Linked DNA regions of Arabidopsis thaliana. The protein of the gene in region 3 interacts with the protein of the main gene of each other region in a pairwise test. Each region holds a gene or a part of one and is shown on either strand. Other genes may lie near its edges. The genes, in order: AT1G66820, ACR6, UPP and AT1G13520.

What was found.
Region 1: the proteins of UPP (region 3) and AT1G66820 interact in a two-hybrid assay, tested with the Arabidopsis thaliana proteins (one large-scale study listed by BioGRID).
Region 2: the proteins of UPP (region 3) and ACR6 interact in a two-hybrid assay, tested with the Arabidopsis thaliana proteins (one large-scale study listed by BioGRID).
Region 4: the proteins of UPP (region 3) and AT1G13520 interact in a two-hybrid assay, tested with the Arabidopsis thaliana proteins (one large-scale study listed by BioGRID).

Annotation. Positions count from the first base shown.
Region 1 is NC_003070.9:24,927,042-24,933,195, reverse strand, and holds AT1G66820 (glycine-rich protein), read right to left. Parts: upstream 3,310-6,154; 5' UTR 3,104-3,309; coding exon 2,774-3,103; 3' UTR 2,569-2,773; downstream 1-2,568. Other genes in the region: AT1G66830 (Leucine-rich repeat protein kinase family protein), read left to right, coding at 362-1,811, 1,889-2,496; AT1G66810 (Zinc finger C-x8-C-x5-C-x3-H type family protein), read left to right, coding at 4,577-5,188, 5,263-5,583.
Region 2 is NC_003074.8:325,732-335,173, reverse strand, and holds ACR6 (ACT domain repeat 6), read right to left. Parts: upstream 5,076-9,442; coding exon 5,065-5,075; intron 5,038-5,064; exon of another isoform or gene 4,950-5,037; coding exon 4,869-4,949; intron 4,724-4,868; coding exon 4,678-4,723; intron 4,576-4,677; coding exon 4,393-4,575; intron 4,306-4,392; coding exon 3,715-4,305; coding exon of another isoform or gene 3,664-3,714; exon of another isoform or gene 3,650-3,663; coding exon 3,545-3,649; coding exon of another isoform or gene 3,533-3,544; exon of another isoform or gene 3,461-3,532; coding exon of another isoform or gene 3,435-3,460; coding exon 3,108-3,434; 3' UTR 3,052-3,107; coding exon of another isoform or gene 3,021-3,051; 3' UTR 2,663-3,020; coding exon of another isoform or gene 2,252-2,662; 3' UTR 2,112-2,251; downstream 1-2,111. Other genes in the region: ROXY1 (Thioredoxin superfamily protein), read left to right, coding at 2,252-2,662; AT3G01980 (NAD(P)-binding Rossmann-fold superfamily protein), read left to right, coding at 6,341-6,432, 6,556-7,075, 7,149-7,427; WRKY45 (WRKY DNA-binding protein 45), read left to right, coding at 8,015-8,268, 8,371-8,560. UniProt on the Arabidopsis thaliana protein: May bind amino acids.
Region 3 is NC_003074.8:19,952,001-19,960,975, forward strand, and holds UPP (uracil phosphoribosyltransferase), read right to left. Parts: upstream 7,076-8,975; 5' UTR 7,007-7,075; coding exon 6,869-7,006; intron 6,850-6,868; exon of another isoform or gene 6,757-6,849; coding exon 6,655-6,756; intron 6,568-6,654; coding exon 6,489-6,567; intron 6,259-6,488; coding exon 6,200-6,258; intron 6,110-6,199; coding exon 6,032-6,109; intron 5,942-6,031; coding exon 5,860-5,941; intron 5,753-5,859; coding exon 5,704-5,752; intron 5,628-5,703; coding exon 5,566-5,627; intron 5,403-5,565; coding exon 5,335-5,402; intron 5,263-5,334; coding exon 5,207-5,262; intron 5,113-5,206; coding exon 5,065-5,112; intron 4,984-5,064; coding exon 4,914-4,983; 3' UTR 4,590-4,913; downstream 1-4,589. Other genes in the region: AT3G53870 (Ribosomal protein S3 family protein), read left to right, coding at 1-63, 298-484, 570-782; AKR4C11 (NAD(P)-linked oxidoreductase superfamily protein), read left to right, coding at 1,238-1,357, 1,544-1,594, 1,929-2,005, 2,116-2,203, 2,372-2,647, 2,737-2,985, 3,085-3,171; AT3G53890 (Ribosomal protein S21e), read right to left, coding at 3,582-3,647, 3,753-3,885, 4,000-4,049; AT3G53910 (malate dehydrogenase-like protein), read right to left, coding at 7,856-7,900, 7,965-8,224, 8,425-8,446. UniProt on the Arabidopsis thaliana protein: Uracil phosphoribosyltransferase (UPRT) that catalyzes the conversion of uracil and 5-phospho-alpha-D-ribose 1-diphosphate (PRPP) to UMP and diphosphate.
Region 4 is NC_003070.9:4,629,711-4,637,672, reverse strand, and holds AT1G13520 (hypothetical protein (DUF1262)), read left to right. Parts: upstream 1-4,373; 5' UTR 4,374-4,449; coding exon 4,450-4,769; intron 4,770-4,972; coding exon 4,973-5,816; 3' UTR 5,817-6,040; downstream 6,041-7,962. Other genes in the region: AT1G13550 (hypothetical protein (DUF1262)), read left to right, coding at 1-601; AT1G13540 (hypothetical protein (DUF1262)), read left to right, coding at 965-1,287, 1,377-2,199; AT1G13530 (hypothetical protein (DUF1262)), read left to right, coding at 2,544-2,751, 2,855-2,966, 3,096-3,933; AT1G13510 (hypothetical protein (DUF1262)), read left to right, coding at 6,986-7,305, 7,392-7,962.

The DNA.
Region 1 (6,154 bases), on a different chromosome or scaffold from region 3:
TTTGACTTTAGGATTTGGAAGTAAAATTGTCAATACATTACCCCACCACTAACTAAACAACTAGAAACTAGAAAAGCTATTCCTCATTACCTTACGTGTCCCCTACTGTTTCAATTATAGCCTCAATCATCGCTAATTCCATTGACATGTAAATGAGGTATATACAATTTGTTTGATGCATGAATTTAGATATAAGTTTCTTCAAACATATAAATATCTTCAAAAAATTTAGAATTGATAAGAAGTTAAAACTGTTGACTTGATTGAAAACTAGGCCAGTCCAAGCTATATAAACACTAATTTCTTGGAGATATTTAGGAGCCAAACTTTACTCAATTCAGAATTGTGTCTCTCTTTAGAGATGTCTCAGTTATTTCTCATTCTCTGCTTCATTCTAACTCATTTCTTTGCCATAGCCACTTCTCTAAACGATCAAGGTCTTGCTCTTCTTTCCTTTAAACAATCCATACAAAACCAGAGTGACTCTGTTTTTACCAATTGGAACTCTTCAGATTCAAACCCTTGTTCTTGGCAAGGTGTTACATGTAATTATGATATGAGAGTTGTCTCGATTCGTCTTCCTAATAAACGTCTTTCGGGTTCTCTTGATCCATCCATTGGAAGTCTCTTGTCCCTTCGTCACATTAACCTAAGAGACAATGACTTTCAAGGGAAGTTACCTGTGGAACTCTTTGGACTTAAAGGGCTTCAAAGCTTGGTGCTTTCTGGAAATTCTTTTTCCGGGTTTGTCCCAGAAGAGATTGGTAGCTTGAAGAGTCTAATGACTCTGGATCTTTCGGAGAATTCTTTCAACGGTTCGATTTCTTTGTCGCTTATTCCATGCAAGAAGCTGAAAACGCTTGTTCTTAGCAAGAACAGTTTCTCTGGAGATCTTCCAACAGGGTTAGGTTCTAACTTGGTTCATCTTCGGACACTGAATCTTTCTTTCAATCGCTTGACTGGAACGATCCCCGAAGATGTAGGAAGTCTGGAGAATCTGAAAGGTACACTTGATCTTTCTCATAACTTCTTCTCAGGTATGATTCCAACAAGTCTTGGAAATCTCCCTGAGCTTCTCTATGTCGATCTTTCTTACAATAATCTCAGTGGTCCGATACCAAAATTCAACGTTCTGTTGAATGCCGGTCCAAATGCTTTCCAAGGGAACCCTTTCCTCTGTGGATTACCGATAAAGATTTCTTGCAGCACAAGAAACACACAAGTAGTTCCTTCTCAACTATATACAAGAAGAGCCAACCATCATTCTAGACTCTGCATCATCCTTACAGCCACTGGAGGCACAGTCGCCGGAATCATTTTTCTTGCTTCATTATTCATCTACTATCTCCGAAAAGCATCGGCTCGTGCAAACAAAGATCAAAACAACCGAACATGTCATATAAACGAGAAACTGAAGAAGACGACAAAGCCAGAGTTTCTCTGTTTCAAGACTGGGAATTCAGAATCTGAAACGCTAGATGAGAACAAAAATCAACAAGTTTTCATGCCAATGGACCCGGAAATCGAATTTGACCTCGACCAGCTTCTAAAAGCCTCGGCTTTTCTTCTAGGGAAGAGCAGGATCGGGCTTGTGTACAAGGTAGTTCTTGAAAATGGATTAATGTTAGCCGTTAGACGATTAGAAGATAAAGGTTGGCTACGGCTCAAAGAGTTTCTAGCTGATGTCGAAGCAATGGCGAAAATCAAGCACCCTAATGTCTTGAATCTCAAGGCTTGTTGCTGGTCTCCTGAAGAGAAACTCCTGATTTATGATTACATACCAAATGGTGACCTTGGTTCTGCAATTCAAGGTAATTTTAGTGTCAAAATCGCATAAATCTATGACCATAGTTAAGATTCAAGACTGATTCATAAAAATTTATGACAGGTAGACCTGGTAGCGTGTCATGCAAGCAACTAACCTGGACGGTCCGGTTAAAAATATTGAGAGGAATAGCAAAAGGATTAACTTATATTCATGAGTTTAGTCCCAAAAGGTATGTCCATGGACATATAAACACAAGCAACATACTTCTAGGACCGAATCTTGAACCGAAAGTATCCGGTTTCGGTCTAGGTCGTATCGTCGACACGTCTTCAGATATCAGATCAGACCAAATCTCTCCCATGGAGACAAGCTCACCAATCCTCTCTAGAGAATCATATTACCAAGCTCCTGAAGCAGCTTCAAAAATGACTAAACCGTCTCAGAAATGGGATGTGTATTCATTCGGTTTAGTGATACTCGAAATGGTAACCGGAAAATCTCCGGTTAGTTCAGAAATGGATTTGGTTATGTGGGTTGAATCGGCTAGTGAGAGAAATAAACCGGCTTGGTATGTTCTTGATCCGGTTTTAGCTCGTGATAGAGATTTGGAAGATAGTATGGTTCAAGTCATCAAGATCGGTTTAGCTTGTGTGCAGAAGAACCCAGATAAAAGACCACACATGAGAAGTGTATTGGAGAGCTTCGAGAAATTGGTAACTTCTATTTAATTATTATTAATTAATGAAAAGTAATAATTTTAATTAGATTATGTGTTTACTTCATAATTTTCAGATTACTTCATAAATTTCATGTGATAATTTTTATGGTTTTTCTGTTAATCATTCATAATTGTGATATTATTATGAAAAATAAAAGGACACAAGGGAGGATATTTTTATTGAACTTATATAATTAACAAAACTGTTAATACAGTACAAAATTAACATAATGCTTTAAAAATCTTTTACCCAAACCCGACCCGGAATTATGAACCGGAGCTTTTTTTCATAGGTCAAATCTCTCTTTGATGTCATCGAAACTGTACCCGCCGCCAACTCCAAATCCGTATCCAAACCCGAACCCGATACCACAACCAATACCGAATCCAAGAACCACGTTAGAATGGTCAAGTCCTTCAGAGGCACCTATTCCGAGCCCGCCGGAGAGACCAATGCCGATTCCAGCGCCGCAGCCAATGCCGCCGCCGATTCCGGGACCGACGGTTGTTGTCTTGATGTTATCGATTTGTGTACGGAGGAATCTGGTAACCGGAAATTCTGATTTCCCGGTTTTGACGTCTGGTTTACGGCTCCAGAGTTTATTAGTTGATCCCATTGGTTTTGTGATTGGGCAAATGACGATCACTGAATTGTGAATTTATGAGTGATGAGAAAATCAGATAAGATTTGAGAAAAAAGATGAATATGCGTTGAGGTATTTATTGGGCTTATTGTCGCATATATTGGGCTTTAACCCATTTAAGTCTCTACAGATTCTCTCCTATTTATCAGTTTTTTTTAATGATAAAAGATACACATGAGATACAAATTCTTCAAGAAAATGTTAAATACAGATTTGGATTAAGTTATATGATATTTTGTTTTTAAAATGTCGTAGAAAGGGTAAGAAGGTAATTTGGGCAGGGTTGTTGGGTTAGAAGGAAGGAAACATTTTCTAGTTAGTTAGCTACAACGAAAGATTTTGATTGAAGTATATTACACATAGGAAAGAAAGAGGGACCATAGTTAGTTAAAGTTGTGCTCTTTAAGCAAACAAAACTCACATATATTCCTTACCTTACTACGGTCGTTAACAACATGAAACTAAACATACATGCATATATCAAAAAACCAATTTAATCATCAATTCATTAACTATTCTTATTCATGATTGGCCCAACCAAACTTAATAAAATGACCTATTCTTCTTTATTTTTGTTTCTTCAAACACACCAATACATACTTCCTTATTCTCCAAGTTACAAACAAAACCTCCCCTCCTAACAAACTTTTTGTTTCCATCTATTTTTTTTTTCAAAATAGATTTTTGCTTGAGGTTCATATTTATATACTTGCTTAATGAATATATTATTAATGTTTTAAGCTATTAAATACTCGAACTAGTAAACCTCCTTTGGGATGGAAGATGCATGTTATTGACTAAATATGATCTACCAAATGGATTTAACATTTTTTATGGTGAATATTGTCACTATAATCTTAAGCTTAAGAAACTATACAGCAATATAAATAGAATATTAAATTTTGTTCTCACTGTATGTGTAAAACTAAACACTAGTTTTGTTGTTGAAGTTATCTAAAAAACAAATAATATTCTGTTACATAGAAATCTTTAACGGTTCTGAAGTTGGCGCGAAAGTGAAAGTAGGTGAGAAATATTCCTCTACACTTCACTTAACCATGAAGAAGCAATTCGTTATCCAATTAAATACACTCGCTTCTCAAACAGATCCTTAAATAATCTCATCGTATGGTCTAGATTAAGTAGCGTAACAATCTTCTCGTAGTCTCTCCCGCATATTATCTTTCTCTCTTTCTTCTTCCTCCTCACCTCTCTGGTTCTCTCTATATATATATATATATACAGAGCATCGTTCATATCTTAATTTCACCGCTCTTTCTCTTTCGCTTCTCTGAGAAGTTTCAAAGCTAATTCAGGTACTCTCTCGCTCTTATTATCTTCTCTGGGAAGTTTCAGTTTCCGATTGTGATTTTGTAGATCTAAACGGATTCAATTTTGTCAATTTCTGTGTTATCTTCTTCAGGAAGCTTTCGAGAAATTGCAACAATGGAGAAACTCGCGGCGTCTACTGTTACAGATCTAGCTTGCGTAACGGCGATAAACTCATCGCCGCCTCCACTATCACCGATCTCTGAACAAAGCTTCAACAACAAACACCAAGAAGAGTTCGCCGCAAGCTTCGCATCACTCTACAACTCAATCTTCTCACCGGAATCTCTCTCTCCTTCTCCTCCGTCCTCTTCCTCACCACCATCTCGCGTCGATACAACTACAGAGCATCGTCTTCTTCAAGCGAAACTTATCCTCGAGTACGACGAACTCAACGAGCATTACGAGCTTTGCCTTAACCGTCTTCAATCTCTAATGACGGAACTTGACTCTCTTCGTCACGAAAACGATTCTCTCCGCTTTGAAAACTCAGATCTACTCAAACTTATTCGTATCTCTACTTCATCCTCCTCCTCCGTCTCTCCTCCGGCGCCGATCCATAACCGTCAATTCCGTCACCAGATCTCCGATTCTCGCTCCGCGAAGAGAAACAATCAAGAGAGAAACTCGTTGCCTAAGAGCATCTCCGTCAGATCTCAAGGATATCTCAAGATCAACCATGGATTTGAAGCGTCAGATCTCCAAACGAGTCAACTCAGCTCTAACTCGGTAATTCTCACTGTAATTTTAAAATTTAAAATTTGTTTTTATTTGATTAATGACGTCATAAATGTTTTGTGAAGGTGTCTTCTTCTCAAAAGGTGTGTGTAGTACAAACAAAAGGGGAGAGAGAAGCATTAGAGCTTGAGGTATATCGTCAAGGGATGATGAAGACGGAGCTTTGTAACAAATGGCAAGAGACTGGAGCTTGTTGTTACGGCGATAATTGCCAATTCGCTCACGGAATCGACGAGCTACGTCCTGTGATTAGGCATCCACGCTACAAAACTGAGGTTTGCAGAATGATGGTCACCGGAGCTATGTGTCCGTACGGTCACCGTTGCCATTTCCGTCACTCACTTACTGATCAAGAGAGGATGATGATGATGATGCTTACTCGCTGATCTGGAGAAGAAGAAAGGTCATTGAAAAAGGGTAATAATTAGTGGTTGTGTACAGATTTCAGATTTGATACCTTATAAATATCGTAACTTTTCTGGGTAATGAATTGGGAAGAAACATATTTGCTTGCAATAGGAATAAGGAAGGGAAAGATGTTAAGTAAATGTTTGATAGGATTATAGGAATATAATTAGGGATGGATAAGAAAGGAGAATTGAAGAAATGTGTGGTTCTCTTTTATACTTCGAGATGTTAATTCTTTTGATATGTTGTTTGTATTCTCTTGGATTAAGCAGGAGAGACTTGAAAAGGATGTTAGATTCAACAAAGATATGAAATTTATATTGATAAAGTTTTCTACTTTGTTCATAAGTATGCAACTTTCTTCCCTAAACTGTTGTGCTGCTATAGTTTTTCTCTTTCTAATTGCTGCAGTGGTGGTAATACATTCATGGGAAAAGATTGATTTGGTTTGTTGGTTATCTTGGTTTGTGTATTTATGTGTAATCTCTGCTTACTGGCTTTCAAGTTTCTGTTTTGCTGATAAACATAGACTAAGATCTTAGGATGGGC
Region 2 (9,442 bases), about 20 Mb from region 3:
GTTTTCCATTTATTTTTTTACTAACTAAAGCTTTTTGGAAATTCAATATACATTATAACATATATACATGTTCCATAGCATATACAGCTACACCACGCGCATACATAGGCACAGATATGTACCTTCCTCTGTATCAGTGTATTACAGATATATATGAGCCAGCTGTTTGTATATATATAATATATACATTGTTTTATAACCCGTAGGGACATATCTTGGTCAGGTGTTGGAATCAGACTCGGACCATTATACTTCGACGATAGAACTCTCTAAAGCTTATTTTAGGGTTTAGTTCAAACCCCACCTTTCATCTCCCTATCGGCTTTGTTTCACCGTAAGAGGTAAAAAAAAAACGAAATTTGAAAATATAAAAATATGAAATGAAGATATATTTATAACAAAGCACAACATTAATATTGTGCAAAGAGAGACATACACACAGATATTTATAAATGGCAAAGACCAGATAAAGCTGAAAAGATAGCATCACGCTCGTATTCTTTCTATTTTTTATTTTGATATCAATTTATATATTTTGTTGTACTAATTAATATAGGCCAGAGGGCTCTCGTTTCCTGCCATCTAACCCTACCCGTCCGATCGATCAAAATCTCTTTTTTTTTTTTCTTTTTCTCTCTAAAATGTTTTTTTTTACAAGAAGAAAATCATCTTTTTATTGATAATCATAAAACGAAAGATTTTTAAAGTTTTGTATAATGTTAGCCTTGTATATACATATTTAAACTTTGAAGAATAAAAAAAAAAGCCAAAAACAGAAAAGAGCTAGATCAATATACAAAGGAATAAGGAATGTTCAAAGTTTCAAGTTTCAGGCGTTGAATACGAACTTCAGAAATGTTCAAAATACCCTTATTGAAAAGCATGTACATACGCTACTCGAAAGGGTTAATATCGGAGAATCGGTTGAACAGATCAAACATTGTATGACAAGTGTTACGTAAGTCTTCTGTCAGGAAAACTAGATTTTTAAAAAAAAAATCAAAAATCAAAGGTAAAGCGATCCGACAACCACAATCCGACAAGATTATTTATCTTTTACGATTTCTCATGCAAAGATTTTTTTCCAGAAAAGAAATACATGAGTTTAAACACTAAAAGAAGTAACTTTCTTTTTCAGCTAGAGGGAGCATAACTGTACGGACTTCTCTTACTATATTCAATATACATATAAAATCTTCTCTTCCATCAATCCTTCGTTTTAAATCTCATTTTAAGATTTAATTTATTGTGGAGCTCAAACCTGAGACACACAAAAAAGGCATTTCGTGTATAAAGGACACAAGCGTGGAAGCCAAAAGCATGTCACAAACTACAAACTTTGTAAACTTTGAAGAAAAAAAAAAAAGGCTTTTTCTATATAAAATTGTTCAAATTTTAATATTGTTATAATTAAACCCATCCAAATTAATTCATGGGTGCTGTTCTTATAAAATATGTACACATCATAATTCTCGAGTCATAATTCTTTTTCTATATATATAAGGAGGATGCTATTAATCTGGATAAGAAACATAAGATTCTGACTCCTTAACAAATTATGATGTGATGATTACACATTTGCTGGATTGATGATTACTCGGTCGTATGGAATTATATATTTTACAGAGTAGAATGGAATAAAAGAAAAACCCTGCCAAAATCCATATTGTACAGATTGAGGGAGCTTATCTACGTGGAAATTATGGTTTCTTACTTTATGATCATGTATCTGAAAATACAAAGAAAGAAAAAGAGAGAATTAAGTGGTAAGAAAATTAATGGTGAGAGCGGTAAGAGCCGACAAGAAGGACAGACGGAGCCGTCTATTACCAACAACTCCCTTCTGATAAAAGCCTGTTCTTCAACTCTCCTTGCCTTTTTTTTTTTTTTTACAAAAAAATGAAATTATTCCGATAACTATTATCGGTGTTTGTTTTCAACAGCAATCACTATCTTGATGTCATCGGTTTTAATTCATATGTTTTGTTACTTTTTTTCTTTTTTTCATGGAGAAGTAAATAGAGGTCATGTTATTATACACAAATAATAAAGAAAGAAACAATAATACTAATAATTAGAGGAAAACAGAGTTAGACTCAGAGGTGTAGTAGGCCTCTATAAATACTCTGCATGGCTCTCACTCTCTTCTCACCAACAAACTTTAGCCAATCCCTCTTTCTCTCTTATTCGTGTTTAATCTAGTTTCTTTCCAAACAAAAGTGTAACAAGAGAAAGAGAAGAGATATCAAAGATGCAATACCAGACAGAATCGTGGGGATCATACAAGATGAGCAGCTTAGGATTCGGCGGTTTGGGGATGGTGGCTGACACTGGTCTGCTTCGTATAGAGTCCCTGGCTTCTGAGAGCGCGGTGGTGATCTTCAGCGTGAGCACGTGCTGCATGTGCCACGCCGTGAAGGGTCTCTTCAGAGGAATGGGCGTCAGCCCCGCCGTCCACGAGCTCGACCTCCACCCCTACGGCGGCGACATCCAGCGAGCCCTCATTCGTCTCCTCGGCTGCTCCGGCTCCTCTTCTCCAGGGTCTCTCCCGGTCGTCTTCATCGGCGGTAAACTGGTTGGAGCTATGGACAGAGTCATGGCTTCTCACATAAACGGCTCTCTCGTTCCTCTTCTCAAAGACGCCGGCGCTCTCTGGCTCTGATCCCTTCCTCTGCTTTCTTTTTTCTTTTCTATTTGAAGTTTTCTTGTAAGAGAATGTGGTGGAGGAAGATTAGGAAACTAGTCAATGGCTGTAATGACAGGTTTTAGATTATAGTTTGTAATTAGAGAGAGAGTTGTTTTAAGCTCACCTTTCTCTGTCTTCCTCTTCTTCATCTCTTATTGATCTTTCGAATGCTCTCATTAAATCATAATAGTAAACACTTTGCATCTTTATTAATGTCCCCTGGATCCATTAATCAACGGTATTAACTGACGCCGTATCTATTCAAAGGCAGTTCCTGTTATTTTGTTCACACAAATTTACACACAAGGGACTTGTTGAGAGGGGATCGCTACGATCAGCTTAAATGATGCCCTACTCTGTCTAACCTATACAAAGCACACACACACTCTATGACTATGAGTGAGATAGGTGAAGCTTGAAGCTACTTGGGTTTGAAGATGTTACTTAGCAAATACCCCATTGTAGTTGTTTCGTGCGAAGGCCTGCTTGTACCAAGAACAGAGCAATGCTCCTTCTCCTTCTTCTTCACCTTCAGCTTGCTTACTCCTATCTGTTGTCTGATTGACTCCACGATTTTTGATTCAACCGGGTTTCCAGTCACGTCTGTAACGTAGAACGTGTCTTTAGCCTTACCCTCTCGCGTTGATATCTCTGCTCTCACAATGGTTAAGCTGTTCTCTCGGAATGTTCTGGTTATGTCTGAGAGAAGACCAACTCGGTCTTCTGCTGATAATTCCAGCTCTAAACCCTGAAAGTATGTTTCATATGCACAATCTGTCTTGAGTATATCAGAAATCGATGCAGAACAGAATGTAATTTGAGCCAAGACAGAGAATTTTCACATTCCTAATTGGTTACCTCCGATGCTCTCCTCTCAATGGCTGCTTCCAGACATTGTATGACACGTTCTTGCTCTGCTTCTGAGTTTATGGGAAGTCCATCCACATGACGGATGTAAAATTCCTGCAGCAAAACACTCATATTATTGTTAGAAGAGAGATCCCAACAGACGGCCGTTGAGTAGTTACCTGATAAGCCTCCACTGGTTCTGTGCTGACCATGCCATGGAACACCACATACTGCATATCAGTCAAAGTACAGACTACGTCAAACACAAGCTTTGGTCTATCTTTGGACCTCATGGTAACAACGGTATAATCCTTCTCAATGTTCATTAGTGTGACACTGGGCCTTGACGCCGATGTCCTTGCTCTTTTGACTCCCTCGTAGTCCCTATCATCAAACATGATCTGATGCAACCGTCTCTCCCTGTGTGTATCAGAACAAGAGAAGACTGTTTTCGCAGCTCTTGAGCCGCTGTTTGTCCTCACTACATTGCACAGCAGCTCCTTGATGGTGGAAAGGCGAATCGGGTCAGTAATGGCAGAATGAGTTGAATTGTCCGTGACATGAATAACCGCTGCAGCTCTGGTGTTGTGAGTCCATATCTCAGCGTTCACAACGTTGCAGTGAAGGTCTGTGAGAACAGCAGATACTTCAGACAAGAGACCGGGTCTGTCAGTTCCAGCGAGCTCAATGGATGTGTATTCGTCAGTGGGCATTACACCAACTGAGCTTCTCAAAGGTGGAATGAACCACCCAGCGTTGCTCTCTATCCTCTGCGCAATGAATTCAACAAACGTTTTACACAAAGAAAAAAACCTGTTGAAAATGAAAGAAAAAAAGTGATGAAATACATTAGAAACCTTTTGGATATAGTCAAGGACTTGAGTGTCTCTGATCTTATTGCCATCTTGGTCGATGACTTTGAAAACGTCCATGAACCAACCTCCATCGGAAGAGATGTAAGCTTTCTTGATCACAAGATTCATATCAGTGAGCACTTGTACTACTTCCAATAGAGTCCCATGTTTGTTCACACTATCAACCTTTTATTTAGCACCACAAACAAACAGGGAACTCTGTTTTCTCAAAATCTCTTTGTTTGGTACAGAACCACTTGAACAATTTGAAGAGACAGATTTATTTACCTGAATAACAGTGGCATCGTCGCTTGCGTTGTTGTCTATTACAACTCTGTATCCACCATGAAACATACATAAATAAAGATGAATGTTTTAGCAGCTGGAATCTTTACAAGGGTATAGAGGCTCACAAACGGAGCATGGAGAAACAGAGGACCTAGAAAACAATAAAAGAGTATGGAGAGAAAGAGAAAAACCTGGGAGGATTCATTCTCCTGATGAGCTTGGCATATTCATCATCATCCATGGTTGTAGTATGTATCTCCTTGGTGATTTGGCTGCAGCAGAAACCCAGAAGAGTGTGAGTCCTCCAATTTCTGAGGAAAATTCCTAAAAGAGAGAGGGAGAGGGAAGTTGAAGGAGGATAAAAATGGTAGGCCACCGGAACCGAACCTTGTTTTCATTAGTTGATCGAGCACGTGCCACTAAAGATTCTTAGAGATGACGTGGCACGGGCACAGCAACTTTTAGATTCTGTTATAATTGTTCGAATACTACCAAAAGTCGGGTGAAGATTTGGGGTCAATTTGATGATCATAAAGGGGATTATATTCTCCTTCTCAAGCAAGATGTGGTATTTACTAGTATAATAGATCATTCGTTATCTTGAGGTAGACCTCTCCGTAACGTTCACAGGTGCATGACCAAGTAACAATTTGATTCCTTTCCAGCATAACGTCATGTTGGTTGCAAAAAGAAGGCAAAGTAGAGCAAGCAAGCAAGCAAAGCATTTTTCTTATTTTATATTTTGTTGCGGATTCCACCACCCACTTGAAAAATTGACATGTCACAATGATTTCGTATCCTAGTCTTTTATTATTTAACACTCTCACAATCCCATTACTCTACACCTCTTTCATTAAGTCAACACACGGTTTTCAAAAATCCACTACCCTCCCACCACCTAGAATCTTTTGTTACCTACCAACACCCTCCTTTGTTCTCTTTATATATTGGTCCAACTAAATCAATAAGGGAAAGCATCCTTTTGGTTGGAGGAATTGCTTTCATTCTCACTCTTTGTGTGTTGATCAATGGACTAGCTAATAACAAGTTCCTCCTCTATATATTTCAAAAGAATGGAACAGAAACATAAACGAAAGACAGAGTACCTGATGTTGATGATTCATTGTCTGTCTGGAGCTCCCAAATGCCTTTTATGCTTACATATTCATAACCAACAACGGCTATTAATTATAAACCAAAAACACGAAATAAGTTTGTAGCAAAGTGAAATTAGGAATCTTGGAGATGGATCCATTAGTAGTAGGATAATAGGATATGATGGAATTTGGTTGGGGAACAGTGATAACTTACGCTTGCTTCCGGCGCCGGGAAAGTTGGAAAACCTACAAAGTACAGAAATGGATCTGGGCCTTGAAGTGGGCTTTTTATTAAAGAAAAAAATACATCTCCGTTATCAATCACCATCTTCTTCTATCTACAAATTAAAGAAGGTAACAACAGAACGTGGTGGATCATGTGGTTAGGCATTAATTATTTGCTTTGTTTCGCCGTTTTGGTAACACACAGACACAGTTCCGGTAAGAGCTTTTGCAGCCACTCTTTATAGTTATTTAGAATTGGCGATCGAATCAATCTCACTCCCTCCCTCCCTTAAGTCTTGTTGAATCTGCTGAATTGTTTTATAAAGAGTTACTTTGGCAAAATGGAAAATCCGGCGAAGAGAGTGTTGATGACATCCAACGGCGACGAGGTGTCCCGAAACATCGCTTTCCATCTAGCCAAACACGGTTGCAAGTGAGTCTCTCATTTTGTCTTCTTTCCTCCTATCCTGTGTTTCTTCTTCTAGCCCCGATTTGTGTTGTGGTTGACTTTGGTGTCTATAGTTAACCTTCAAAAAATGCAATGTACTGTTGCTAGGTTGGTAATGATGGGAAATGAGGGTTCCCTAAGGAGCATTGTAGACAAGATTAGAGATTCCATTGAGGGAGCCTTCCCTGCCGATGTTATAGCACTCGACATGGAATCTGACTCTGAAGTTGCTTTTCATGCCGCTGTCCAAAAGGCATGGGAACTTTCCGGCCATTTCGATGCTTTTCTCAACTCTTATACCTACCAAGGTTTAATTTGCTTCTTGTTTTTCACTACCCTGCCTTTGATGCTCTTGTGTGTTGATCATTCCTTTATTCAACAATCTTTCTTTCTTGCAGGAAAGGTGCAGGACATTCTTCAAGTCTCTCAAGATGAGTTCCACAGAATCACAAAGATCAATCTCACCGCTCCATGGTTTCTCTTGAAGGCTGTAGCCACAAGGATGAAGGACCATGGATCAGGAGGCTCCATTGTCTTCATGGCCACTATCGCCAGCGGAGAGAGGGCGCTTTACCCTGGCGCTGATGCCTACGCTTCAACTTCTGCCGCTATTCACCAGCTCGTCCGGGTATGCATCCTAGCTCCTAATTAGACACATCGCGTTCGTAACTTGAATATGTTTGTTGATGATTGGGTTTCAGGCATCAGCCATGAGTCTCGGGAAGCACAAGATACGGGTCAACATGATCTCTAGAGGGCTGCATCTGGATGATGAGTATACAGCTTCTGTGGGAAGAGACCGAGCGCAGAAGCTGGTCAAGGACGCTGCACCCCTCGGCCAGTGGCTCAACCCGGACACAGACCTCTACTCCACTGTTATCTACTTGATCAGCGATGGCTCACGCTTCATGACAGGCACCACTGTCTTGGTGGATGGAGCGCAGTCCCTTACGCGACCCCGTCTCAAATCCTACATGTGATCAATGCCTAGTATTATTATAATTCTATGTTGTGTGTAAAAAGTGAATATGAATCAAGTTTGAATAACTATGGAGGGATGAATAATCCATGGAATCAATGATTATATACTTTTGACAAGTATAGAAGAAAGCAAAGAGCCAAAATAGTCAACAATCTCAACATCATTCGAGCTCATTGTTTATTGAATTCAATCAAGTTTGGTAGGTGAACCTCAAATACACGTGATATTGGATATTATCTTGGAAACCTTGCTAATCCAAATTGTAAATCAAATAAGAAAAGAATGATTACCTCAGAGATCTAGATGCATATTGATTCTTGACCAAGAAATATGTTTGAAATTTGAATCCATTGAACCAAAATTTGAAGGAGTTGCATATATAATAATATAAATCAGAATGATGTAGCCGCCACACCTTTTTGTTTCCACAAAACTCTTTTTCTGTGATGGATCCGCTAATGTAGCCATATTTTCAATATATATCACTTTCTCTGGCATCTTCGCTACCGTGTACGTCTCTCTTTCTCTCCCTCCCCTCCTTGGCTTTTTTCAAGTTCCCACCATAAACGCAGAGGGAGTTAAGAAATGGAGGATAGGAGGTGTGATGTGTTGTTTCCATGTTCATCATCGGTTGATCCTCGCTTGACAGAGTTTCATGGGGTCGACAACTCTGCTCAGCCGACAACATCATCCGAAGAGAAGCCAAGGAGTAAGAAGAAGAAGAAAGAGAGAGAAGCGAGGTACGCGTTCCAGACAAGAAGCCAGGTTGATATACTGGATGATGGATACAGGTGGAGGAAGTACGGCCAAAAAGCAGTCAAGAACAATCCATTCCCCAGGTACGTACTTAATCATCAATGAATGATACTGTATGCTTGCTATGGTGATCAAATAAGAGACTCATATACATACATGTAAAATATGAATATATATATATATAGGAGCTATTATAAGTGCACAGAAGAAGGATGCAGAGTGAAGAAGCAAGTGCAGAGGCAATGGGGAGACGAAGGAGTGGTGGTGACGACATACCAAGGTGTTCATACACATGCCGTTGATAAACCCTCTGATAATTTCCACCACATCTTGACACAAATGCACATCTTCCCTCCCTTTTGCTTGAAGGAATGATTAGAGGAATTGGATTGTAATATTTACTTTCCCAAAAACGTTGGGCTCACACCATCAGACCTTTACTTTTAAACTAGCAGCAACTCACATATCTCAAAAATACTAATCCTTATCTTTGTCTTTATGGGACCTTTGAATCCATCTGCTTTGGTGTCTTAGTCTCGGCTGCCCTGTAATCGAAAGTATATTCATCATCAAATTACCAAACATAAAGAAGCAATGATGAGTCTATCATCTACAAAAACAATGTTATGTATCCCAAACCTACCGATTATTCCAAAACTAGTGACAAGCTAAGGATATTGTGGAGATGAAGATGAGAAAGAGTACGAAAGCTAACTTTGAGGTTTCTTCTTGGATCCAATTGCGAATATGCTTCACGTTTCGCTTTAGAACGGAGGACGCTTTCTTTGTTAGGCCCATTAGCCTGGGCTCTCGTGTTTTTCATAATGTCAAGTCAGCCCAACAAGCCCAAATCTTTACAAAAAGAACCAAGGACCATGTCATCCGGAATATGGTGATATTATTGGATTATACCATTGGACCATTTAACACAAAAGCAAATATGCAACAGAATATATATAGATCACATAACAGTCAGAATCTTCTCAAAAGATATGCTTTCTTCCTTTTCTATTCTAGAGTGTTTTGATGACATCGGCACGAAGATAATGTTATTTTACAGATTTAGCTAATTAAGTCTTTCGTAATAATTATCAAACTCAAATTGTTGCGTTTTAATTTACCGCCGCCACAATACCGCACGAAGATAATGTTATTCGCTTGTGAATTTCTTTATATTAATCTCTCACGAATAAATTAATTCACATTCTTACATAAATCGAAACTTATCCACATTTTCTTGATTCTTTTCAAAAGTTA
Region 3 (8,975 bases):
CTGTGCCATCGCTCAGGCTGAGTCTTTACGTTACAAGCTTCTTGGTGGTCTCGCTGTTCGTAGGTACGACATTTCTCTAGTTCGTTTGCTATGTTACTTTGTTTGATCAGTTTAGTTTATCATTAGAGACTGATTTGGATAGGTTACTAGTGTATATAAGCATTCACCGATCGTTATAGTTGTATGTTTAGTATAGAGTAATTGTTCTTATAGACTCTGTATGGTTTCAAATAGGTATTGTCTAGCTTCTAAGTGTAATGACTTTAAGTTCTCATGCAATGGTTATATGTTGTATAGGGCTTGCTATGGTGTGTTGAGGTTTGTTATGGAGAGTGGAGCTAAGGGATGCGAGGTTATCGTGAGTGGAAAGCTTCGTGCTGCCAGAGCCAAGTCTATGAAGTTCAAAGATGGCTACATGGTGTCATCTGGTCAACCAACTAAGGAATACATAGACTCTGCAGTGAGACATGTTTTGCTTAGACAAGTGAGTTTCGTCTGAGTTGTTCTTATTAGAGTTAAGTAAAAAATCAACAACGTCTAATTAAAGTGTTGTTAAACCGAATATGTAGGGTGTGTTGGGAATCAAGGTGAAGGTTATGCTTGATTGGGACCCTAAGGGCATATCAGGACCAAAGACACCATTGCCTGATGTTGTGATCATTCATTCTCCTAAAGAAGAAGAGGCCATCTATGCACCTGCTCAGGTTGCTGCCCCGGCTGCTCTCGTAGCAGATGCACCACTCACAGCCGTAGATTACCCTGCGATGATCCCAGTCGCCTAAAAGAATCCTTTGTACTAGTCGATGTGATTTTGTTTTCAACTGTTCTTGCTCTTTTGACAGATTATAGCTTCTCGTATCTTCGAATCAGACACGTTTCCTCTGTTCTTATTCGAAAATTATCTCAAGTTTCCATTGTTGAAAAAGCCCTTTTTAGTTTCATAAATCATTCTCTCTTTGGCAAATTATTCTGAATTAATTCGTAATATTACAAGACCAGTTTGTCCAAATTTTGGTACATCCATCGAATTAACTAATCGTAATTACTAATTACTAATTACTCTCATCACATGAAATATGAAAACACAAGTATTTGCGTTTAGTTATATCCACGTGTTTGAATACTAACCGTCTGTTGTTATAAAACTCCGACGATTTTCCCGCTCCGTCGACACAAACCTCCTCCGTCTTTCGTAAAAGGTTCTCGAGATCTAAGTCTCACTTCTAAAGCTCTGACAATGGCGGACGAAATCGGATTCTTCCAACTCAACACCGGAGCAAAGATCCCATCGGTTGGTCTCGGGACATGGCAAGCTGCTCCTGGCGTCGTTGGAGACGCCGTCGCCGCCGCTGTGAAGGTTCTTCTGTGATTTTCCGTCTCATGGTTTCTCATTTGACTGATCCTTAGAGATCTTTGATTAGATGTTCTGATCCTTACATAGTTTGGTTTTTCCCTCAATATTGGTTGATCTTGGGATTTACGGATTGATTTGGAAATTCGTTTCAGTAGCAGAAGAACTTAATAATCATTTCGTTTTCTGCAGATTGGATATCAGCATATTGATTGTGCTTCAAGATATGGCAATGAAATTGAGGTAAAATTCACCGATCCGAATCTGTATCTTCCATAGTTTGCTTCATATAGTTCATCTTTTGACGGCTCGTTACTTGATTTGCCTTTATATAGAACAGTATATAGTATGATCGTTCTTACTCGATTGGCTGTTTTATGTAATTCTTACTAAGGTTAACCAATTTATATTTAGGAATGACAATTGCACACATTGTCTTGTGTATCTTTTTCTTAAACTAGCTTTAAGTTATGTAGGATTAATGGAGTTATTTGTTATAGACTGTTTACAAGTTCATTTGAAATGTGGCTTTTTGTTTTTCTTGATGGAGAAATTGAAAGCTTTTTTTAACCTGCAGATTGGGAAAGTTCTGAAGAAGTTGTTTGATGATGGCGTAGTGAAGCGTGAGAAGCTGTTCATCACATCAAAAATCTGGTATTTTGTTCATGAAGTTTCTGCATCTCTATCATTTTTATGCATTTTCAGTTTCCCTCGTTTGCTTAAGCCTCTTAACCTATTAAAATCTACAAATTATGCAAGCACAGGTTGACTGATCTTGACCCTCCGGATGTACAGGACGCATTGAACAGAACTCTTCAGGATCTGCAGCTTGATTATGTTGATTTGTATCTCGTAAGCACGACTTCTTTGAACAAATGCTGATTTTTTAATAAGTTCTAACAGTTTTCAAGATCCGTTCCTTTCTTCAATATCTAGCCTGAATTGTCCGGATCTCTGGATTTGAAACTATACATATGCTTGCTTATACTTTGATTTGTTTCATTTGATATTTTTTTCAAGATGCACTGGCCTGTTCGGTTGAAGAAAGGTACTGTTGACTTTAAGCCTGAGAACATTATGCCTATCGATATTCCGAGCACATGGAAAGCAATGGAAGCACTGGTTGATTCAGGCAAGGCAAGAGCCATTGGCGTAAGTAATTTCTCTACAAAGAAACTCTCAGATCTTGTGGAGGCTGCTCGTGTTCCTCCCGCTGTAAACCAGGTGGAATGTCATCCTTCATGGCAACAACATAAGCTACATGAGTTTTGCAAGTCCAAAGGGATCCACCTCTCAGTAAGTTTTAAAACACTAAACATTTCCAAATCATTTAATGAGTCCGAATGTCATATTTATATACACTTCGTGAATGTTGATTGTGGCAGGGATATTCGCCATTGGGATCTCCTGGAACAACGTGGGTGAAGGCCGATGTTTTAAAGAGTCCGGTTATTGAAATGATTGCTAAAGAAATCGGGAAGTCTCCCGCACAAACCGCGCTTCGATGGGGACTTCAAATGGGTCATAGTATACTTCCCAAAAGCACAAATGAAGGAAGAATCAGAGAGAACTTTGATGTCTTGGGATGGTCTATTCCAAAAGAAATGTTTGACAAGTTTTCCAAGATAGAGCAGGTAAGTGAAACAATAAACCACATTTCTGCAAATTTCGTATCTGTGAGTAGTCTTAACTGTAACCTCTTGTATTTTGGATTTTGAATCATCTCTGTGCAGGCTAGGTTAGTCCAAGGCACGTCGTTTGTTCATGAGACGTTGAGTCCTTATAAAACACTTGAAGAGCTTTGGGATGGTGAGATCTGAATCAAAAGATGTCTTTTGTTGAATTTTAAAGTTGAAAAAGAACAAAGTTCCACTGCTTTAAGCTTTGATCGAGAATGTGTAAACGATTCAATTTTCAATAAAAGTAGGATTTTGCAGACATATTAACAATCTCTTATGTTCATACAGTAAATCACTAATCCGAGAGGTTGATGATAGATAATCTAACAGTTATATTTGAAAGAGAAATATAGACGAGTATTAGACTGTAGATAGAATCTGATTCCATTGGCCTCAAAGCCTAATAATTATCTTTAATAAAGCAGAAAAATCGAAAACATGAATTCGCATAAAGAGAAACTAACATTTTCAATTCAATGACAAAGCCACATAGCTAATAAATCGAAACCTCAAAAAACAAACAAGAGCTTATGACATTGTCAGATTGTCTCTCACTGTTGTTTAGCTTCGACCTTCTTCTTCTGCCAGAGCCTGTCCACGCCACTGTCTGCGTCTCCCTGCAGATGCAATCATAATGTCAATATACATATACAATCATGAACTTTGTTATAACAACTGTGGAGATGATTATAAAGTAATTAGCAGAGTGGAAATTCACAAACCTGAGCACGGACAAATCCGCAGAGAGCAAAAGTGGTGAATTGGCCAGTGTAGAGACCATTAGCATCAAGATGACCAATGTTAAGCTGAACTGAAGCATGATCCTTTGATGTGATCATTCTGTTTGTTGCCGAGCTAAACAAATTACCATTACACAACAATAGAATCAGCTTAGGCTACTTAATTAAGACAATTAGCTTAAGATTTTAATCAAACGTTACACAGAGAACAAAGAGAGCTGATATATACCATTTCCTTGGAATGTAGAGCTCTGTGACCTGACCTGCGTCGTTCTCCATTTTTGAGATTTAGCTTCAAAAAAAAATCGATCTGAGCAAGTAAACAAACAAAAAAACTAATCAGATGAGCAATAGAACCTCGAATTAAGAGATTCATCAAGAATAATTGATCACATTCAACAATAATATATAATCAACAAAAGACACAACGAGATAACTAATTCTGAAATCGAAACCTAGATTATTCCGATGCGTTAATTAGCAATACAGTGAAAGGAGATTAAGATACTACGGAGAAATTCTCACCTGCGAGGAAGAAGAAGAATCTGAGAGAGGTTTGGCGGCGACAAAGATAGGGTTTGCTTAATTCATAGGTTTATTAGATTTATAGTAGCGAGCTAGGGTTTGCTTATTTCATAGGAATGACTACTATACCCTTCAACTTTTAATTGAAGAGCAATAAAAACCGATCCAATTAGAGCGGTATACAAAATTAAATCAAACCGAAATACTAAACTTTTTCAACCAGAATTGTACCGACAGTTAATTGTAACCGGAATCGAACGTAACCAAACCATAAATACTGGTTCAGTTTGGTAGTAACTTAAGTTCATTCAATTTGATAACAAACTTTTATTATTGGTTCAAATGTTTGCTTCATGGATGAATTTTTCAGATTTTCTTGCATACTTTTTCCCAAAATGGTTTGTGGTAGACAATTGAGAATGATACACATAAAATGGTTGACAAGTTTGTTCTCTGTTTTGTAATAATGAGGAATTCAGTTTTTCTTGTTTGTGAAATTTTGACTCTTTATCGAAACCCTCTCAAGAACCTGAAATCACACATCAAAAACAAAGTACAAGAGACACAATATATAATCTAACGATTGTGACTGTTAAAGTTTAACAACTCATACAAGTATCACTTCACCCAATGTGTTTCTGTCCCGAAACTGCGGTCTCCAGCGTCTCCAAGCCCAGGGATTATGTACCTAGTTCATGACAAATACATAAGGACATTAAAATACAATCGCCAGTTTTCATATGGAAAGCCAAAGAACCTAATGACTTACCCCTTTTCATTGACTTCAGGATCAATAATTCCAGCATATACATGAAGCCTGAAATGTTTCAAATAGTAGCCAAACAGTTTAGTAAAAAGAGAGTTAACTAAATGGTAAGCAAGGTGAGAGTTGATCTTTTGCTATTGATTACCCGGGGAATTTCTCGTTAAGCTTCGATAGTGCAGGAGGTGCAGCAATCGCACAAATCTGTAATCAGAAAAATCAAAACAATTAACACTTCGATTTCTGACAAAAGCTGTTTCCTATATATATGCTTACCACTTTGATTTGCTGAACAGACAAACCACGTTCCTTCAATAGATCCATCGCCGCCATTATGGTACCACCTAAAATACAAGTTACTAAGTTACTAAACCTACGCTTCTAGCTATGAAACATTCGTATTACCATGTCATGCGTTCACATTCACATATTATCGTGTACATTTGAACATCAAACCCTAACTATACTTCTAATATGGAGGTGGCTAAAATGATAAGACTTTCTTACCTGTGGCAAGCACTGGGTCGACCAAAAATACTCTTGAATTCTTGGGAAATTCATCAGGCAACCTAAAGAAGATGTATCAAAGGTGTTATTATAAACACTTCAGTAACTACAAACACAATGCTGCAGAGAAGTTCTTACTTGTTAAGATACACCGATGGTAAAAGTGTTTTCTCATCTCTACTTACTCCTGTAAAAGAAAAGAAGCACGGGGACATCAATAAGCTATTTGATAAAAGTTTTCATTTTTGACATCCGAAGTTCAGGCAAGAGATGATATATAGCTAGATTACTAACCTAAATGATAAATTTTATTAGCAGGTAAAACTGAGGATGCGTGTTCCGCAAGAGCAAGACCAGCTCTTAATATCGGAACAACCTACACAGAGACAAAACCAAGAATTAGAAACGCTTACATGTAAGGTCGAAAAGAAAATATAGACAGGAAGAGTTTGAGGGATAAACAAACCGCAATAGGCTCTCTAGGATCAATGAATTCAACAGAAGCAGGACCCATTGGAGACATTATTTCACCCACAACAGTTGGCTTAACCGCATAGAGCAAAAAACAAAAAACAATAAGCAAAAAACGGGTAGGAAGAATTCAAGAATAATAGAGATGTGAAATTCTACGCACCAGCCACTCTCGTGATGCTTCATACATGAGTAATCTCCCTAGTTCAGCTATTGCATTCCCTAGATAATTAAAAAAACTCAAGCTTTAAAGATCAACACAGACTTATACTAGTAGCAAACCTAAAAAAACTCATATTCAAACGCAATGTAGCAGATAACACCAATCTAAGAGCTAAAGATTGTCCAACGAATCAAAAAAAAAAAAAAAAAAAATGGATGTAAAATTCAGTTCTTTAACAACAAACACTGGTTAAATCGCAGAAATACTCATAAGAATCTTATCTACTCACTGAAAACAGGACAAGGAGTTTGTTCATTTCTCAGAACAGAGATCCAGTGTTTGATCAAAGGATGTGGTGGCACAAAGACCTGAAACACCAGAATCAAATTCACATCTTTCACTTTCAAATCAAACTCAAAAAAAATCTGAAAATTGAAATCCTAGAGTTTTATTACCAGCATCCTGTTGCTCCCGTTAATGGAAGCCTCCGACGCAGCCATTTTTGTTCTAGCTCGTATAGTCCGTCGGGAAAGTGACGAAGAAGAAGCACCCAAATTCTTTAAAATAATCCAGAAATTCGAAAATCAAAATTCAGTTTGAATATGCAAAAGGCGTTACTGGAAAAGTGTGCTTTGGACATTAGAATAAATATATATATATACTCGATACCTGTGCGAGAATTGGGGAGGAATTAAAGGAGAGGAAAGAGGAAGGATTAGGGTTTAGGCGGCTGCTGCATTGTTGTCGGGGAGCAAAACGCAGCGTATCAGAAGAACACCTGAAAGCGTTACCAATTGAGCACGCCATTTTCGACGAGATGTCCGAATCTGGTTCGAGATTTTTGCAATGACGATAGCGCGGGCGAAGATTAACCGGTCGTCACTACTGTACCGAATAACTTTGGGTCTACTTATTACACGGCCCATTGGGCTTTTATATTAATTTTTAGCAATTTCTTTCCAAACAGAAATCTACAAATTAAGGAATAAATTAATAAATAATTTATTAATTTACATAGAGAGTTTTCTAATGTAGTAACTTTTTAAAAGTTTCTACAAGATATTTTTCATCATAGAGAATATCTTTCTAAAACCAATTGCAAGTAAAAAATAATTATCATGTCTATAAAACAATATCAAAAGTTTTGATACAGTAAAATATTATAACTAAATTCAAATAAGAACAAATACGAGTTTAAGCAAAAAAATATTAGAAATTTCTTACATATAATATATTAGATATATATATATTTTATATTTATACAATTACTAATTTATAATATTGATGGGATCATATATTTACATAGGATTTTCAAAAAAATTATTATTTTATTAATTTATCAATTTGTGTCACTTTTTACAGTCCCAACTCGGGACTGGAAAAAATTATTAATCTTATATAGATTATTAATTTATCGAGTATTAATTTATAGAGGTTTTACTATTACAATAAACTTGAAAACTTATTTAGACTAGACTCCTTAACTCTTCTCCTCTTCAACTCATTCATCAGTTTTTGTAACAAATCTCTGAAACTGTACAAACCAGACACGGATTCTTTGTCTGAGAATTCAGGCACAATTAAGAAGTCCTAAGCCCTGTTTGAAGATTCTCAAAAGTCTTTAACCAAATACAGCAAAAAATGTTTAGAGAAAGATCAAACCACAATCAAAAGTTTGTAAACCGAAATAGCAACAAAAGTCTAGAGAAAGATGAAACAACACACATAGAACCATGTCTTGTGGATGTAAGAAAGATTCACTTACCCTCTGTAGCAAAGTGATGTCTTTCTCAATGGTAACTTTCACTCTCGGCTTGATAGCTTTAATCGCTCTCTCCTCGTATTTGGCGAGTCCCTGAAGATCTGAATCTATCACTTCCTCAATTCTCTTCTTCCCAATCTTTGTCCTCGTAGCAAAATAAGGGAGCTCGGTGACCGAAGAGGCCACAAAAGCAAAATCGAAGACGTCATCATCTCCGTCCAGAGCACGAATGAGTGACTTTAGAAACGATATCATAGCGTATGCTGAAGTGAAAGATCGGGAAGCCTAGATCGGAGATAACTCGAAATGTTAAGTCCCGCGAAAGAGGAAGAGAAAAAAAGAATTCACGGAAGAAAAAAAACTTAAAACGGAGGACAAAGACGAGAAGGAAGGTGATTATCATCCGATTCACTTCCAACCCGACGATTGAACACTCCAAGTTAAACGAGAAAGAAGGACTCACGGTCCGAGTTTCTAAGGAACATCCGAATTTCTTTCAACTCTCGGTCATACTTCGCAAAAGGTAATCGGATTTTATGACCCGCATGTGAGCTAAGCTTTAGCGGGTTAGACCGAGTTAAGAGACATAGAGAATCCGAGAGGAAGTACCCCGAGAAAAGAAGAACCAAGAAAAAACTTGATCCGAGAAAGGAGTTGTCGTTAGGTGGTTAGATATAATCTTTTTCAATTAGTAAAATTAAAAATTAAAATTTTTTTATATATATAATAGCAAAAAGTATGAATTGTTTATAATTGATAAAATATATAATACTAAATTACATAATAAATTTTATAATTGGTTCAATTGAAATTCAATATAATAATTGCACAAATGCAAGATAATTGATACAGCTATATTGTAAAAGTAATCGAAGGATGTGTAGATTATCCAAGTGGTTAGGATTTTATAACTTGTACAATATCTATTTTCACTGTAATATAACTATATAAGTTTACAACCCCGTACAAGACATTTTACACTCGAGGATCTCCAATGTTACTATTATAAACACA
Region 4 (7,962 bases), on a different chromosome or scaffold from region 3:
ACAAGACTTTGGTCTCATAGATGACGCAAAAGGTCTTAACTTAGAGCTTCGTTCTAAGCTTCCCGGTCTTGATATAAGCGTTGTTGTAGGGAAATGGTATGTTCCTTTCATATTTGTGAAGGAAGGAGACATAATAGATCAAGTGAAAATATCAATGTATTACAACATGACGCTTCATCAAAGATGGGAAGAAGTTTTCTTCTATGAGAATGTTCACAATGAAGATTGTGTTGAGGTCGTTGTTGATGTTGATCTTGAACTCCAAGTGATTAACATTGAAGGACAGAAGGTTAGTATAGAGACAACGAATGTGGATGCTAAAGGGATTGTTTGGTTCCAAGTTAAAGACAAGAAGATAGGTTTAAGGTCAGTGGTTGTGGAGAGGATGGAAAGTGAAGAGGAGAGTTTCGGGTGGAAGAAGGTAGACGGAAACCGAGTGACGGTTAAGAGATTGGATCGGTTCGAAGGCGGTTCATCGCATTGGAAGAGTTATAAATGTTATGTATTGGTAGAGAGATTTGAATTGAAAAGAATGGATGAGAGTTTGGTGTTGACATATGAGTTTAGACATGCTGATAAGTTGAGGACTATCCAATATTGACTTGTGAGCTTCTCTCTTTTATTTAGTCTTCTGCTTTTACATTGATGTAAACTCTGTTTAAAATGAAAATAAAAATGTCATCTTTCAGAGTTGTTGGAGCGTTGAATACTTCATGATGCAGAGTGGTGTCATGATACAGAGAGGCGAAGACTTTGTTTATCTTATTTTAGAGACACTTGATGAGAGGTGAAATTAGGGTAGGCTAGGATCTTTAAGGAGATCAAGTAAGTTTCTTTGAAGTTTCCTACAACGAGCCATCCAGAAAAGTCAAGTCACCTTGTCAGTTGCTGTTCTACAGAGTTGTTTACTCTATAATATAGGATCAAGTTTTTCTCCAAGTCCAAAACTCGATTTAGTGAAACAATGTACATCACAAGGAGTTTCTCAGAGTACCGGAGGAATCCAGCAGAGCTAACACAGCCTCCTCCTGAGGGTCCAAATTCTGGAATTTTGGTAATCCAAGACCAACACTCACGGACACGGGCTACATCTTGCTTCGGCTCGTGGTTGGTTGTGGACTCTTCTCTAAGTGGTTTGCCATTGCCCCAAAATCTTAAGCTAGCAGTCACATTCAATATTGGAGGTGATGACAGCACTCGTGACCCAGTTGTGTTCATTCCTGTTCTTGATAAGCCTCTATCTTCAAACTGTTATTACGCTATTAAACGGCATGGGAAGCATTCAGGGTATGAAGTTTAATCCGCAAATCTGAAATTCTTGAATCTTTCTTCTTATATAACCTGAAAAAGTTTATAAAATTTTGGTTGCATTGCAGGGAAGCGTCTGGAAGTGCAAAAGAGGACGATATAGTCTCCTGCTGCTTTTGCTCTAGTTTTGTTCCTGAAGCCAAACCAAAACAGTTAGATCCTTTTGACATGTACCAACAATTCAAGATCCATCAAAAGGAGCCTTCCTCGCGTTGTTACTACGCAACATCTGTCGCTCCTGACGGGGTCCCACCATGGTTTCTGAGGAAAAAAGAGTGGACGGTTGAATACTCGAGGTTCCAAGACTTTGAACTGAGAGATGATGCAAAAGGACTCATCACAGAGCTTCGTACTGAGCTTCCTCTTCTTGGTATGAGCACTGTGGTTGGGAAGTGGTATGTCCCTTTCATATTCGTGAAAGAAAGAGAGGTAAAGGATCAGATCAAGAATTCGATGTATTACAGCATGACTCTTGAACAAAGATGGAAAGAGCTTTTTTCTGATGAGAACGACAAAAGCGAGAACCGTGATGTTGTCGTTGATGTAGAAGTAGAAACAGAAGTTGTTAAGCTTGAGGGACAAATGATTGAAAGAGGTCTGGAAGCAAATGGGTTTGTCTGGTTTGGGGTTGGAGACAAAAAGATCGGTTTAGGATCAGTTGTTGTTGAGAGGATGAAATGGGAAGAAGAGAGATTCGGGTGGACAGGCAAAGGCGACAATGAGCGATCAATGACAGTTAAGAGATTGGAGAAATCAACAGATGGTAGCCTTTGGAAGCATTATCATTGTTATGTTCTGATAGAGAGCTTTGTCTTGAAGAGAATGGATGAGAGTTTGGTCTTAACATATGAGTTTACACATGTAGATAAGCTCAAAACCAAATGGGATTAAGCTTATCACGCAACCAAATCTGCAAAAACTTTCTCAATCTCAATGACATGAATCCATTGGTCAGTGTGATTTATCTATAGCCATTTTCAATTCGGTTTTTTCCGTGTATTGTGTTTTGATATTATCTTCAATCTTTTTGGGTGAAGAAAGAATAAAATATAGAGTTTGTTTGTCTTCTTACTTGTTAGTACTCATCCACAGGAGATTCTGACAAATGTTTAAGTCAAACCTCAGATTATATTTATAAACAATAGCTTAGTAAACTTCCTTGCACGTTCTTATGATCCTTTGTTTTATATAAACGATGACAGGTTAGATCTTGAGTAACAAAGAATCAAGGAGAGATGTATGTAACAAAGCGTTTGTCCGAGTACCAGAGAAACCCATCGGAGCTTACTTTCCTTCCAACGGAAGGTCCAAACTCCGGCGTATTGGTGATTCAAGACGAAGAATCACAGCCTACATGCTGTTTTGGCAAATGCTTTGGTTGTGATCTCAATGGTTTGCCGTTTCCTCAGAACACAAGAGTCACCGTTAAATACCAAATCGGACGTTAGTTACTAGTCATTTCACTCCTAACTTTCTGTCAATCATTTTACTTTACTCTGTTTCTGTTTCTTCTCTGTTTATTATCTAAGCTTTGATTTCACCATAGATGGAGATGACAGAATTGTCTTGCTTGACTCGGTCGCGTTCATCCCCGTTCTTCACCAGCCTCCTTCTTCCAATCTTTACTACGTTATAAGGCGAAGAGGGAAACATGCAGGGTATGATTCTATTGAATCTTTCTCATGTTATGTAGATATCAAAGTTTATCGTTTTAGTTTTAATTAAGCCAAGATTAATAGTTTAGCGGCCTAAATTCACATCTTTTAAAACTTTGATTGGTATTGCAGAGAAGCATGTGTTAGTGCAAAAGAAGAGGACAAAGTTTCTTGTTGCCTTTGTTTTACTTATGTCTCTAATGCTACGCCAAGGCTTCTTGATCCTTTTGACATATACCAACAATTTGAGATACATCAAAGAGGCTCATCAACTCGCAAGTTTTTCGCTACATCTGTTGCTTCAGATGGAATACCACCTCGGTTCCTGAGGAGAAAAGGCTGGACCGTTCCTTTCTCTGCTTCCCAAGACTATGGTTTGATTGATGATGCAAAGGGTGTAGTTGATGCAAAGCTGCGCTATGAGCTTCCCGATTTCGGTAAGAGTGTAGTAGTTGGAAAATGGTATGTTCCGTTTTTGTTTGTAAAGGAAGGAGATGCTAAAGATCAGATGAAGAAATCGATGTATTATAGTATGACACTTCACCAAAGATTTGAAGAGGTTTTCTTCTGCGAAAACGTTGACAATAAAAATTGCGAGGTTATAGTTGATGTGGAGGTAGAAACAGAAGTGGTTAAGCTTGAAGGAGAAAATATTGGAAGAGAGACAAAAGGTGTGAATTCAGATGGAGTTGTCTGGTTTGGTGTCTCAGAGACTCAGAAGATAGGTATTGGGTCTGTGGTCTTGGAGAGGATGAAATGGGAAGAAGAGAGGTTTGGGTGGTCGAAGAAAGGCAATGAACTAAAGTCTAGCATTAAGAGAACTGAGAAATTTGAAGGCGGTGGACCACAATGGAAGAGTTATAGATGCTATGTACTGGTAGAGACCTTTGAACTGAAGAAAACTGATGGGAGTTTGGTATTGACGTATGAGTTTAGACATGTTGATAAGTTGAAGAGTAAGTGGGATTGACTTTATTTCAGCTTCTTTGTGTGTTATGTGTTCAATTTATGGTGTGTTCATTTTATTGAAAGGTTAATGCAAGTTCATGTGTTATGTGGTGAAGCTAACTTGCACAAAAAGGGTGTATACTCTAAAAGGAAAAAAACCTCAAAAGTTTTGTAATTATTTTGTAGAAAAGCATTAGCTAGTGCCAAAGAGTAAGACAGAGTCCCCTGTTTCTTTTGCTTCAGTTTCTTCCTGAAGCTAAGTCACAAGAAGCAGATCCTTATAGTTAGGTCAATCATAATATAAAGAAAATATAGAATTTGTTTGATTGATTCTCCATGATAGGTTTGTGAAACCAGGTCAAGGTCATAACTTTGGAATTCTAAAGTTTGAATTGAACCATAAAGTAAAAAAATTTGAAAAGTCTTCAAACGATAACTTGTAAAATTTGCTTACCGCGTTATCCTCAATACATGGTGCAATATATAAACATATCATATCTCTTCTAATCAATAACCTGATCAAGATTCTGAATTCAAGATGTATGTTACAAGGCATCTCTCCGAATACCAGAGAAACTCGTCGGACTTGACACGATCGTTGCCGGAAGGTCCAAACTCCGGCGTACTTGTGATTCAAGACGAAGAGTCAAAACCGACTTGTTGCTTTGGAAATTGCTACGATGGTGAACTCAAAGGCTTACCGTTCCCACAGAACGCAAAGCTGACTGTGACTTACAGAACCGGAACTGGTAATGACAGGCGCAGTTACCATGACCAGGTTCTGTTCATTCCGGTTCTTGATCAGCCTTATTATTCGAACCGTTATTATGTCATTAAACGACGTGGGAAGCAATCAGGGTATGGCCAAAAATCTTAATTACTTTCTTGACTTTGTTTTGTTTTTTTGAGGTTTTAATCAATTTATGTCATGCATGGTTCGAGATACTTGCTTTTGGGTTTGGTTTTCTTGGGATGGTTTCGGTTTGACCGGATTGGCCACCCCTTTTGACCTGACTTGCACAAATGGTATTCATTAAAAAAAAACTAATTTTGGATTGCAGAGGAGCTTCGGCGAGTGCAAAGGAAGAAGACAGAGTCCCCTGCTGCTTTTGCTTCAGCTATGTTCCTGAAGTTAAGCCACAAGAAGCAGATCCTTATGATATATATCAACAGTTCGAGGTCCATCAACGTAAACCATCATCAGGCTATTACACTGCCACTTCAGTTGCTCCTAATGGGATACCACCAGAGTTCCTTAAGAGAAAGTACTGGACCGTTGAGTATTCGAATTCCCAAGACTTTGGTTTGACAGATGATGCAAAAGGGATCAACACTACGCTTCGTTCCAAGCTTCCCAACGATATGAATACAAGTGTTGTGGTAGGGAAATGGTATGTTCCTTTCATATTTGTGAAAGAAAGAGATGCAAAAGATCAGATTAAGAGCTCACCTTATTACAGCATGACGCTTAAACAAAGATGGGAAGAGGTTTACTCATGCGTAAACGTTAACTACAACCAAAAAGGAGGAGAGGTTGTAGTTGATGTTGACGTAGAAACACAAGTGGTAAAGCTTGAGGGACAAGAAACTATTTCTAGAGAGACAAGTGGTGGTGGATTTGTTTGGTTTAGTGTTTTAGGGGATGAGAGACAAGACAAGAAGATAGGTCTTGGGTCTGTTGTCGTGGAGAGGATGAAATGGGAAGAGGAAAGGTTCGGATGGTTAAACAACGGTGAAAGATCTAACATTAAGAGATCAGAGAGATTTGAAGGCGGGTCATCGCATTGGAAGAGTTATCGATGTTTGGTATTGATAGAGAGCTTCGAATTGAAGAGAATGGATGGGAGTTTGGTGTTGACATATGAGTTTACGCATGTTGATAAGTTAAAGAGCAAGTGGGATTGAGTTTTTTATTCATCTTTGTTCAGTTTCTTTGTGTGTCATCTTTTGGTTCAATAATTAATTTAATGAATAAGTTTTATGCAATTTCATGTAGTAATTAAAAAAAAAAAAAAGTTCGCATTTAAATTCACGTAAATTTCAATTATGAATCATTTATTTGATCATTCTTCTTAAATGTTTTTTTTTTAATATTGTAAACTTGTAACCCTCATTCCAACAACTATGGCCCTCCATTTTTTTAATATAAATCAAGTTCTTTGAAAGTTGCTGATAACGTGTTTTGATTCTACTACCAATTTAAAAGTCTTCACATACGAGTTTAGACATGTTTATAAGTTGAAGAGAAAGTGAGATTGAGAGCTTTTCCAATTTGATTCTCATATCTCCATAATTTATTTAATTTTATGATGTCTCTTAAATTCTGCTTCAAGTTCTGTTTTTTGGGGGCTCTGTTTCAATACAAAACCTCTGTTCTGCAGATTGCTCAAATGAACAATTATGAAGTTAATGGTCATAATTTGGAACTCAAAGTAGATAAAAACTTAAGTTACGTGATAGAATTTAAAAACAATGTGATGTGAATTTAAAAACTGCCAAAAAGGACTTCCATAAAAGCTAAGTCAAAGATCTCGGAAAAGTCTTAAAAAACAATGTTGATTGAGCCGCTAGTGAGATTATTTTTTCTAGTGATTTGAGTCTTGTCTTGTAGGATTCTTGTTGCTTCTCTACCACAACTATATTTTGTAACTTTTGCTCTCTCTTATCTCAATTTCTTAAAGGTTTGAGATGGTAGAGTTACTTGACTTGTGAATTTTTTGGTTTGAGGGTGCCTTAGAAATTGATTGCGTTAGAATGGTTGGAGCGTTGAATACTTGACTGATGCAAAAGGTGTGGACAGAATCTTCATGATGCATGCAGAGTAGTGTCATGATACAGAGAGGCAAAGACTTTGTTTAAACTATTTTATAGATACTTGATGAGAGGTGACAATAGGGTAGGCCAAGATCTTTATGGAGATCCAGTCAAGTTTCTTACAACGAGCCATCCAAAAAAGTCAAGTCACCTTGTGTTCTGAAAACTTGTTGAGTCTATAAAATATGATCCAAGTTTTTCTCCTAGTCTAGATATAAACGATCACTCGATTTGGTTTACTCTTACAAAAATCAGTGGAAATGTATGTTACGAGGTGTTTGTCAGAGTACCAGAGAAATCCAGCAGAGCTAAGACAGCCTCCTCCTGAGGGTCCAAACTCTGGAATTTTGGTAATACAAGACCAACACTCACAGACACGTCCATGTTGCTTCGGCTTGTGTTTGGTTGTGGACTCGTATCTAAGTGGTTTGCCCTTGCCGCAAAATCTTAAGCTAGCAGCCAGATTCAATGCTGGAGAAGATGACGCTACTTGTGACCCAGTTGTCTTCATTCCTGTTCTCAATAAGCCTCTATCTTCAAACTGTTACTACGCTATCAAACGAGTGGGGAAGCATTCAGGGTATGACTTTGAATCTTGAAGATCTGAAATCTTGCATCTTTCATCTTATATAACCTAAAAAGTTTCTAAATTTGTTTTGGTTGCAGAGAAGCGCCTGCTAGTGGGAAAGAGGAAGACAGAGTCCCGTGCTGCTTTTGCTCTAGTTATGTTCCTGAAGCCAAACCAAAACAGCTAGATCCTTATGACATGTATCAACAATTCATGATCCACCAAAAGAAACCATCCTCGCGCTACTACTACGCGACATCTGTTGCGCCTGACGGAGTCTCACCATGGTTCCTTAAGAAAAATAAGTGGACAGTCGAATACTCAAGGTTCCAAGACTTTGAACTGAAAGATGATGCAAAAGGACTAAACACAGAGCTTCGTACCGAGCTTCCCGGTCTTGGTATGAGTGTTGTGGTTGGGAAGTGGTACGTCCCTTTTATATTTGTGAAGGAAAGAGACGTAGAGGATCAGATCAAGAGATCGATGTACTACAGCATGACTCTTGAACAAAGATGGGAAGAAGTTTTCTCTTATGAGAAGGATAAAAGCCGAAACTATGATGTTTTAGTTGATGTAGAGTTAGATACTGAAGTTGTTAAGGTTGATGGACAAGAGATTTCAAGAGGTGTGGAAGCAAATGGGTTTGTCTGGTTTGCGGTTGGAGACAAA